2 separate regions of the Mus musculus genome follow, and region 1 is reported to be linked to region 2. Evidence: microRNA targets listed by miRTarBase, many of them from high-throughput screens and not tested one by one. Region 2 holds a microRNA gene; the other region holds the end of a gene's coding sequence.

Region 1 (4,065 bases), not on the chromosome of region 2:
TAGGTGTATGACCTGTGCTCCTGGGTGCGTGTGAAGGTCGAAGGACAGCGTTCTGCTGTGGGTTCTCTCTCTCCCACCTTGGTGTGTGCTTTGGGGTTGTGAGCCACCATGTTGCTGGGAATTGAACTCAGGACCTCTGGAAGAGCAGTCACTGCTCTTAACCACTGAGCTATCTCTCCAGCCCTCTTGAGTTAATTTTTTTGTTTTTGTTTCTGTTTTGTTTTGTTTTGTTTTTACCAGCTGAAATACCTCTCTGAATATTGGGTTTTGTTTTTAAATTTTATTTCTCAGGGCTAGAGGGATGGCTCAGTGGTTAAGAGCACTGGATATTTTTTTTTTCTAGAGGACATAGGTTCAATTCCAGCACCCCCACAGCAGCTCACAACTGTCTGTAACTCCAGGTCTATGGGATCCCCATCTTTTAAGCCTCAGAGAGCAGATAACACATGCTGGCAAAGTACACAAAACAAAGATTGTTCTTATTGATGTGTTTGCCTGTGTGAATTATGTGTACCATTGTGTATGTGTACCATATGTATGTACCTGTGTGAACCATATCAATACAGAGATCCCTTCAGAGATCAGAAAACCTAGGAGACCCTGGAATTGGGGATTACAGGCAGCTGTGGACTGTGAGGTGACAGGAACCAAATTCAGGTCCTTTGCAAGAGCAGTAAGCACTCCTTCTTCTTCTTCTTCTTCTTCTTCTTCTTCTTCTTCTTCTTCTTCTTCTTCTTCTTCTTCTTCTTCTTCTTCTTCTTCCTCTTCCTCTTCCTCTTCCTCTTCTTCTTCTTCTTCTTCTTCTTCCTCTTCCTCTTCCTCTTCTTCTTCCTCCTCTTCTTCTTCCTCTTCTTCCTCCTCTTCTTCCTCCTCTTCTTCCTCCTCTTCTTCCTCCTCTTCTTCCTCCTCTTCTTCCTCCTCTTCTTCTTCCTCTTCTTCTTCCTCTTCTTCTTCTTCTTCTTCCTCTTCCTCTTCCTCCTCCTCCTCCTCCTCCTCCTCCTCTTCCTCCTCCTCCTCCTCCTCTTCTTCTTCTTCTTCTTTTTTGGTTTTCTGAGACAGGGTTTCTCTGTGTAGCCCTGGCTGTCCTGGAACTCACTCTGTAGACCAGGCTGGCCTCTCAAACTCAGAAATCCACCTGCCTCTGCCTCCCAAGTGCTGAGACTAAAGGCGCGCGCCACCACGCCCAGCTAGGAGTAAGCACTCTTAATCAGAGATATTTGTCCAACTGTTGGCTTTCTTTTTCAAGATAAGGCCTTATAACTCATGTGCCTCTGCGCCTTTGCTCCCTGACTGTAGGATTTACCTACTGGTGCGTGTGCTGCCACACCTGGTGTCCACTGAGAATGGGAACACTGCACACCTGCAAGTAGTCAGTACAGGTTGGTGGCCCTAGGAGGAGGGTGCCCCCAGGATTCCTGCAAGATGGGGCTCTTAGGAGCTCGGGGTAGCCAGACGGGTACAGAGACTGCTGTGTGTCGGATGGCCTGGCAGGAGGAGAGCAAGGAGCACAGATGCTCACACACCGAGGCTGGGGTCCTACAGATGGGTTCCACCATCGGAGCCAACATGGCAACCAAGTCCCTTCCTTCCGGTTCTAAAGTTCCTTGTGTTTCTCATCGGGTTTCAACAGGAAGAGGCAGAGGATGGCAAGTATGGCTTCATCACTGACCCAGTATGCAAGAACAGAGTGGGCGTGGAGGTGACTAACTGTAGACTATGGTGCGCTTGCAAAAGTCCTTTCAGAACTCTATATGCCAATGTGTCCAGACCGTATTTGGTGCAGGAGCTCAGTATCTTAAAGCACATTCTTTGCATGACACGATCCCTAACATCCATCTCCACAGCTTTTTACCTTCTCCATTCCACCCATTCCACCCTGGCTCTCAGCCCCTCCCCCTCCCCCAACATCCTCCTCACCCATCACACCTTGGCTCTTAGCCCCGCCCTCTTCACAGAGCCAATAATCATGGGCCCGTCTATGAATGTCAGGACTCTACCTCAGAGTGGAATTATACAGTAGTCATTCTGTAATTGGCTCATTTTATTTAGGGCGATGATGTTAGGGTTTTTTACACGCTACCATTGCACAACAGCGTACTGTGGACCGACTTTGGCTTAGAAAATATATTTTCGGGGGTTACGAACTGACAAGGTCTTGCTGTGCAGCTATGGTTGCTGTGGGATGCGCTAGCTGTGGGATGCGCTAGGTAGACCATGCTGGCTGAGATCTTGTGGTCTTTCTGCCGCTGCCTCCTGAACAGTACCCACTGTTTTTGAATCAGTGTGCTTCCCCACTGTTCCACTGAATGCCACCTGGGTTTATTAACTCTTGACTACTGTGAAAACTGATGCTGTGGGCACTGCTGGAAGAGTTTGTCCAGTACCCGATCTGCTTCCTGAGTGCACATAGACTTAGAAACCAAGTTGCTGGATTGTATGAGAGATCCATGCGGAACCTTCTAAAGCTGCCAGAGTGTTTCCCACAGAACACAGCATGCTTTTCTTACCGAAAAAAACACTCAAAAGATTAAGATGCGGAGCTCGTGAAAAAGACTGGCACATGTAATCTATAACTGCACAAACACACGGCAAATTCAACTGTCATTCATAAATACAAAATTTTATTTGCACTTCATTAGTGTAGAAAGACCATGATGCTTCTCATAGCACAACACTCAGGACACGCCAAGTTATTCAAATACATACTTATTTACCTTGACTAAACAAAACAGTGCAGCTTAATAAAAGATATACCAAAGATAGAGTTCACAAATTCCTTATCAGACCAGGAAAAAAAAAAACCCTCAAGGGGGGGTGGGGACCAAGAAAACTTAAAGAACACAGTCTAGGCTTAATAGGAATAAGCCTCACCATCAAGGGGAGAAGTTTGTCATTACAAAGATACAGGATGTTTAGGCAAATGCATGTGTATTCTTTGATATACTAAAAGGTAACTCTTAAAATCCCTTTAAACAGGATTTGTGTAGGACAGCAGTGTGATTTTAAAATCTTTTCTATAGTTTCAAAAACGCTTCTTTTTCTTTCTTTCCTTGCGATGACGGGGATTGAAGCCAGAGCCTCACGTACGCTGGACAGATGCTCAAATGCTGAGCTGCAATCCCAGCCCTTCCGTTCTTTCTCTATTGAACCTTTTCATTCTTAAAAGCAGGTCACAGCCAACGGGAAACACCCAGGGTTCTGCAGCCTCGGGACTAAGTCCAGTCCCCTATCCAGGAACCCTCTCACTACATGGCCCATGTGTGCTCTCACTGTGGCCGTGAGGGAGCTCTGCTTTGGTGCAGAGACACTCCAAACCTTGAGGTGCCGTGTGGGGAAAGCCCATAAATAAAGAAAAGGTGGCTGTCATGTCTTCCTTTTCAAAAAACTTCAGTTTTGTAGATTTTCGTTGAAACAGCAAGCGAAGCACCAGGTCCTCTCTTCTCATCGGAGCGTCTGCCTTGTAGTGTAATTAACAAGGACATTTATAGTACTCAGGAAATATTACATCTTTCTTCTCTCCCAGTCTTCGTATTAGAAGTACTACGCCTCCCAGTGTGCGTACACTAGACACTGGGGTAATGAGGAAATATAATTTGAAGGGAAGTGTGTAACTTATATAACCCGACCTTACCCAGGATTGCATATTTGCATATTTACAAGTTAGTGTATAGCTGACTTGGGTTACAAAGTGCGAAAGGAAATTGTCACGTGATTGTAGTGCAGAACAGAACGTTTCCCCCTTCTAGGAATCGCTTGCACCATCTCCAAAGTATCAAATCAACAGCATCGGACGTGTGGTCTGGGAGGAGGCAGCTCTGGTGGGATCTCAGGCTCTGGTTGTAGAGAAAGGATGCTATTGGATAACTCGTTTCTCAAAACATCAAGAGGCATCTGGAGGACAAGAAGAGAGCACAGACACACTTCAGTCCTGCAAACGGCAGGATTGTATTAAACTGTAAACCTTTCATTCCGTGTGCACGGGTGTGTTGCCTTTGTGCCACAGGCCCGTTACCCAAGGAAGCCAGGATAGGGTGTTGGATCTCTGGGAGCTGAAGTTACAGACGG
Region 2 (4,065 bases):
TTAATCCAAAAATGTTAAGAATGGAGTCAGAAGTGACTATGTTTCTGTTTTAGTAATAATTGTACAATTCTGGTCACTCACAATCAAACCCAGGCCTGTGGAATCCTTACCTGGCAGCTCAGGGATCCATCAGTCAGCTTCTTGCATTTCTTTTAAAAAAAGCAACATATTATGGAAAACTTTAGCTCTGTAGATAGTGTCAGCTTAAACCTGATTTTAGCAGCTCTTCCTTATTAATTTTACTTTTCTTTAGGTTTCACTCCAATGATTTTTATTCATAGCCTGAAACCAACTGTGCTGCCCAAATGTAGAACTATATATTATATATACTGTTATCCTAAATACTAACTGCAGCTTCTCCAGACCCAGCACTCGAGTGTCATGTGTACCTGTCACTCTACTGACCATCAGTTTGCCATCTTTCCCTTGAGGGGGTCACATGGTAAGAACAGTCCAAGGATAGTTCTTTCTTACAGGGTGTGCACATTAACAGAGTGGCCACCACCTGTTAACTGTTAAGAACTCACGGATTAGGAATAATCTTATCAGAAAACACTCCATCTGAATTGTCACACTTTAATAAACAGAGATCCAAAGAAAGTAACATTTTTCTTAACTCATGTTAATGGGTTTTAGAGTAAAATAAACCTGAAGTCATACCAGGTTCAAAAGGCAGTTTAACTTCACCTAAGCCCCCACACACAACTTCTTACTAAATCCAGCGAGCAAACACGAAAATGAAATGATTCAGTAAAAACAAACCACAATTTAAAAACACAAATTTCAATTAAAAAAATCCCGTTTTACACACCAACGAAAGCAATAGAAATCACAGTTTACAGAATGTGTTCATACACTCCATCAGCTCGTGAACATTTTTACAGTGGAAATCGGCATCTTCAGCAATATTGTCATTTTCACATCTTCTGGTCACAATCCCCACCAAACTCAACAGGCCGGGACAAGTGCAATACCATACAGAGAAACACAGCATTGCGACAAATCCCAACCTGTGTAGAAAGGGGTTTGATTTTCCCTTACTTCTCTACAGACTTTTCACCACCACAGTCAGTTTTGCATGGATTTGCACAGCAGAATATTATACAGCTGGATGCAAACCTGCAAAACTAACCATAGACCAGTGCTCAATAACAGGACAGTTGGCTGGGCGATGGCCAGGCGAGGCTGGAGTTCTACAGCTGGCAGTACTTTAAGTGCTCGTAATGCAGTAGATGGCTACACACTACCTGCACTATAAGCACTTTAGTGCTACAGAAGCTGTCACATCACACACACCACGCAGGCTCTACATCGACACAATAAAAATACAAAATTAGTTTAAAAAAAAACAACACTTGAAGTAAATAGCAGGCCACCATCAGTTTTGCATAGATTTGCACAACTACATTCTTCTTGTAGTGCAACTATGCAAAACTAACAGAGGGCTGCAAACACAACTATGGAGAGACCCCTACATGCTTGCTTGACTTGGATTGGATGAGGACATAACTTCTTATGCCAGAAGGAGCACTTAGGGCAGTAGATGCTAGTCTACTTCACTATCTGCACTAGATGCACCTTAGAACAAAAAGCACGCAGCACCAGCAGGCCCTCCCCGCGACCGACTGACCGACGACTGGACGCAGCCAGTGCCGCCCGAGGCAGCGCCCACTGTGGCTCCCACCGAGGCAGCTGTCAGCATAATGCTACAAGTGCCCTCACTGCAGTAGATGCACACATCACTACCTGCACTGTAAGCACTTTGACATTATTCTGACTGGTCACAGCTTCAGTCCCAAGGTGAGGTTCACTTTATTCCTGCTAAATTTGAAATAAATAATTAGACAAAAAGGAAAAAGCCAAAGCTCTAAATTCTGTCACAAACATCAATTACAGCTTATACCCAAGGGGGGGAGGGGAGGAGCCAATAGCCAGAAGTTCCAAATTGGACACATGTAAGCCTTAAAAAAAAAAAAAAAACTCCTTAAAGAAATATAAGATACAATCCCATTAAAATGTTGGCTTTTACAGTAGGCTTCCCCAAAAAACACACAATAAGGGTCCTACAAAATGAGACCTGTTATCAGGAAGGCAGTCTGACTTGGTACTACCTTTAGAGGAAAGCCTCACATTGACCAGGCAGCAATCCCTTTCTTCTGTCCTCCACATTGTCAGATACTCGACAAGATTAATGATTATTGTTTAGTCATTTTCAAGTTTATTAGTCATAAAACATAAAAAAGTCTTAGTATCACCCCAAATTAGAAATACTCTATGACTCCAACTTGAAGGGTCTACAACTATTTGGTTAGTGTCCAAAAGCCACTGTAGATTTACTACGTTAAAATGTGGCTCACTCATTTATGACAAGAGTTCAAACTGTATTTATTTCATACCTTAAAAGACCAAGAATGTTGTACAAGCTCAAAGACAAAAGTGAAAACCAAAGGTCTCAAAAGAAGTTTTAGCTACAAAACTAGAATATACTCACCCACTCAGGCAAACTTCCTTCTCAGCAAGTATCCTTGGGCAATGCTTCGGGTGCTGCTAGGTCCACGTGTATGACTAGGGTTGGGGGTGGGGTGAAGACAGAGAAAGGGTAAGCACATTTGCTCAAAATTACTACCACTTTCCGAGCCCCATTCCAAGTTGCTCTTCTCTTAATCTTCCTAAGGGGCAATTCTATCCATTTGCCAAAAAAAAAAAAAAAAAAAAAAAAAAAGAGAGAGCCAGGACCACAAGGTCCTGAGGGCAACAATGTATTGGGTGGAAAACGCTGTAACAAAATAAAGTTGAAAACCCACCAAGATTCACATCCGTGCACGAATTAATGTGCCCCTGAAATACTGCAAGATGAGTAGCAGCAAGCCTGAACTCTACTGTCCAGCTCAAGCTAGAGAAAAAGGGCAACCAGGACTAGTCTTCACCACCCCTCCCCCAATCAGGACCTCGTGGCTGCACGCCGGGATAAAGAGTTGTTTCCCCAACTGCTGTGATCCTCGTGGCACGTTGCTCATTTTCTTCCCTCTGGTCACCTAAGAACCACGAGCCCTGCTGCGCTCTCCAGTTTTCTCCCCTCCGCGCCAGCTTATCAAGAGAAAACCGGACGGGAACACGGGATCCTGCCAAGTACCCGCCACGCTCATGGAGCCCGGGCCGGCAGCACATGTCGCACAAGGGGGCAGGCGGCCCTTGTGGGTTCCCCGCGCGGCCGCCAGGGGGCGGCAGGTCAGAGCCGGGCCGCGCTGCGCCGGACGCGGAGACTCCCCCCCCCCCCCAACCCCCGCCCGTTTCTGGGCGGCTGCGCGGCGAGCGGCGGCGCGGAGGCCCGAGCGTGGCGAGGCTCCGGACACGCCGGCCGTCCTTTGTGTCCCGCGCGCCCCCCGGCCAGGCTCCGGGGGAGGGAGGGGGGCGGACAGGGCGCTCGCCGCACGCGGCCCGAGGCCTAAGCCGGGAACAATCGGCGGCGGCGCGCAGTCGCCGCCATGTCCCCCCCCCCCCCGCCCTCGGCGCGCGCAGCCCGCCCCGCAGGAACATGGCGGCGGGGCCGCCGCTCCTGCCGAACCCGCCCGGCCCTCCCGCGCCGCGCTCGCAGCCAGCGCCCGTCCGGGGCTCCGCGCCGCCCCGAGGGCGGGCCGGGGCGTCCCGGGCCGCCCGGGCGGACCGCAGGGGTCGCCTCGCCCGCGAGGGGAGCTGCCCACGCGGCCGCACACAAAGCCCACGCGGAGCGCGGGGTGGCGCCCCGGCCCCGTCGCCCCGCAGCTCCCGCGTCCCGGAGCCCGGCCCGGCGCGCACAAAGTTTCGGGGACGCCGAGTGCCGCCCGCCCACGCCGCCCGCGCGCAGGTTCCTCGTGGGCGCGCCCCCTCCCGGCCCGCGGCCTGCCCCATGTGCCGCCGCCGCTTTGTTCTGGAGGCGCTTTAACTCTCGCCCCCGGGAGAAACTTTCCCCGCACGGCGGCCGCGCGCCCCGCCCGGCTCCCGCCGCTCCCGGGACGGCCGCCGGCCTCGTGCGAAGCCTCCCGAGGGCCATTGTGTGCGCCGGGCGGGCCTCTCCGGGGCCCGGGC

Evidence for each region. Region 2 holds the annotated microRNA mmu-miR-17-5p (CAAAGUGCUUACAGUGCAGGUAG, at 1,743-1,765, opposite strand). A microRNA usually pairs through its seed, bases 2 to 8, with sites in the 3' UTR of a target mRNA and lowers its output. Matches are read on the target gene's strand: a 7mer-m8 pairs with bases 2 to 8, a 7mer-A1 pairs with bases 2 to 7 and ends in A, and an 8mer does both.
Region 1: miRTarBase lists Rab12 as a target of mmu-miR-17-5p. Seed matches in the 3' UTR shown: 7mer-m8 at 3,686-3,692.

The regions. Positions count from the first base shown.
Region 1 is chr17:66,491,913-66,495,977 of GRCm38, forward strand. Rab12 (RAB12, member RAS oncogene family) reads right to left here. Exons shown (of 6, transcript NM_024448.2): 6 at 2,600-3,891. The coding sequence ends at 3,778. Among named protein-coding and RNA genes, the nearest start is that of Gm41608, 12 kb to the right of the region's middle.
Region 2 is chr14:115,041,384-115,045,448 of GRCm38, reverse strand. Mir17 (microRNA 17) reads right to left here and starts at 1,778; the gene lies at 1,695-1,778. It overlaps Mir18 (microRNA 18), which reads right to left and starts at 1,598; the gene lies at 1,503-1,598. It overlaps Mir19a (microRNA 19a), which reads right to left and starts at 1,449; the gene lies at 1,368-1,449. It overlaps Mir20a (microRNA 20a), which reads right to left and starts at 1,292; the gene lies at 1,186-1,292. It also overlaps Mir19b-1, Mir17hg and Mir92-1.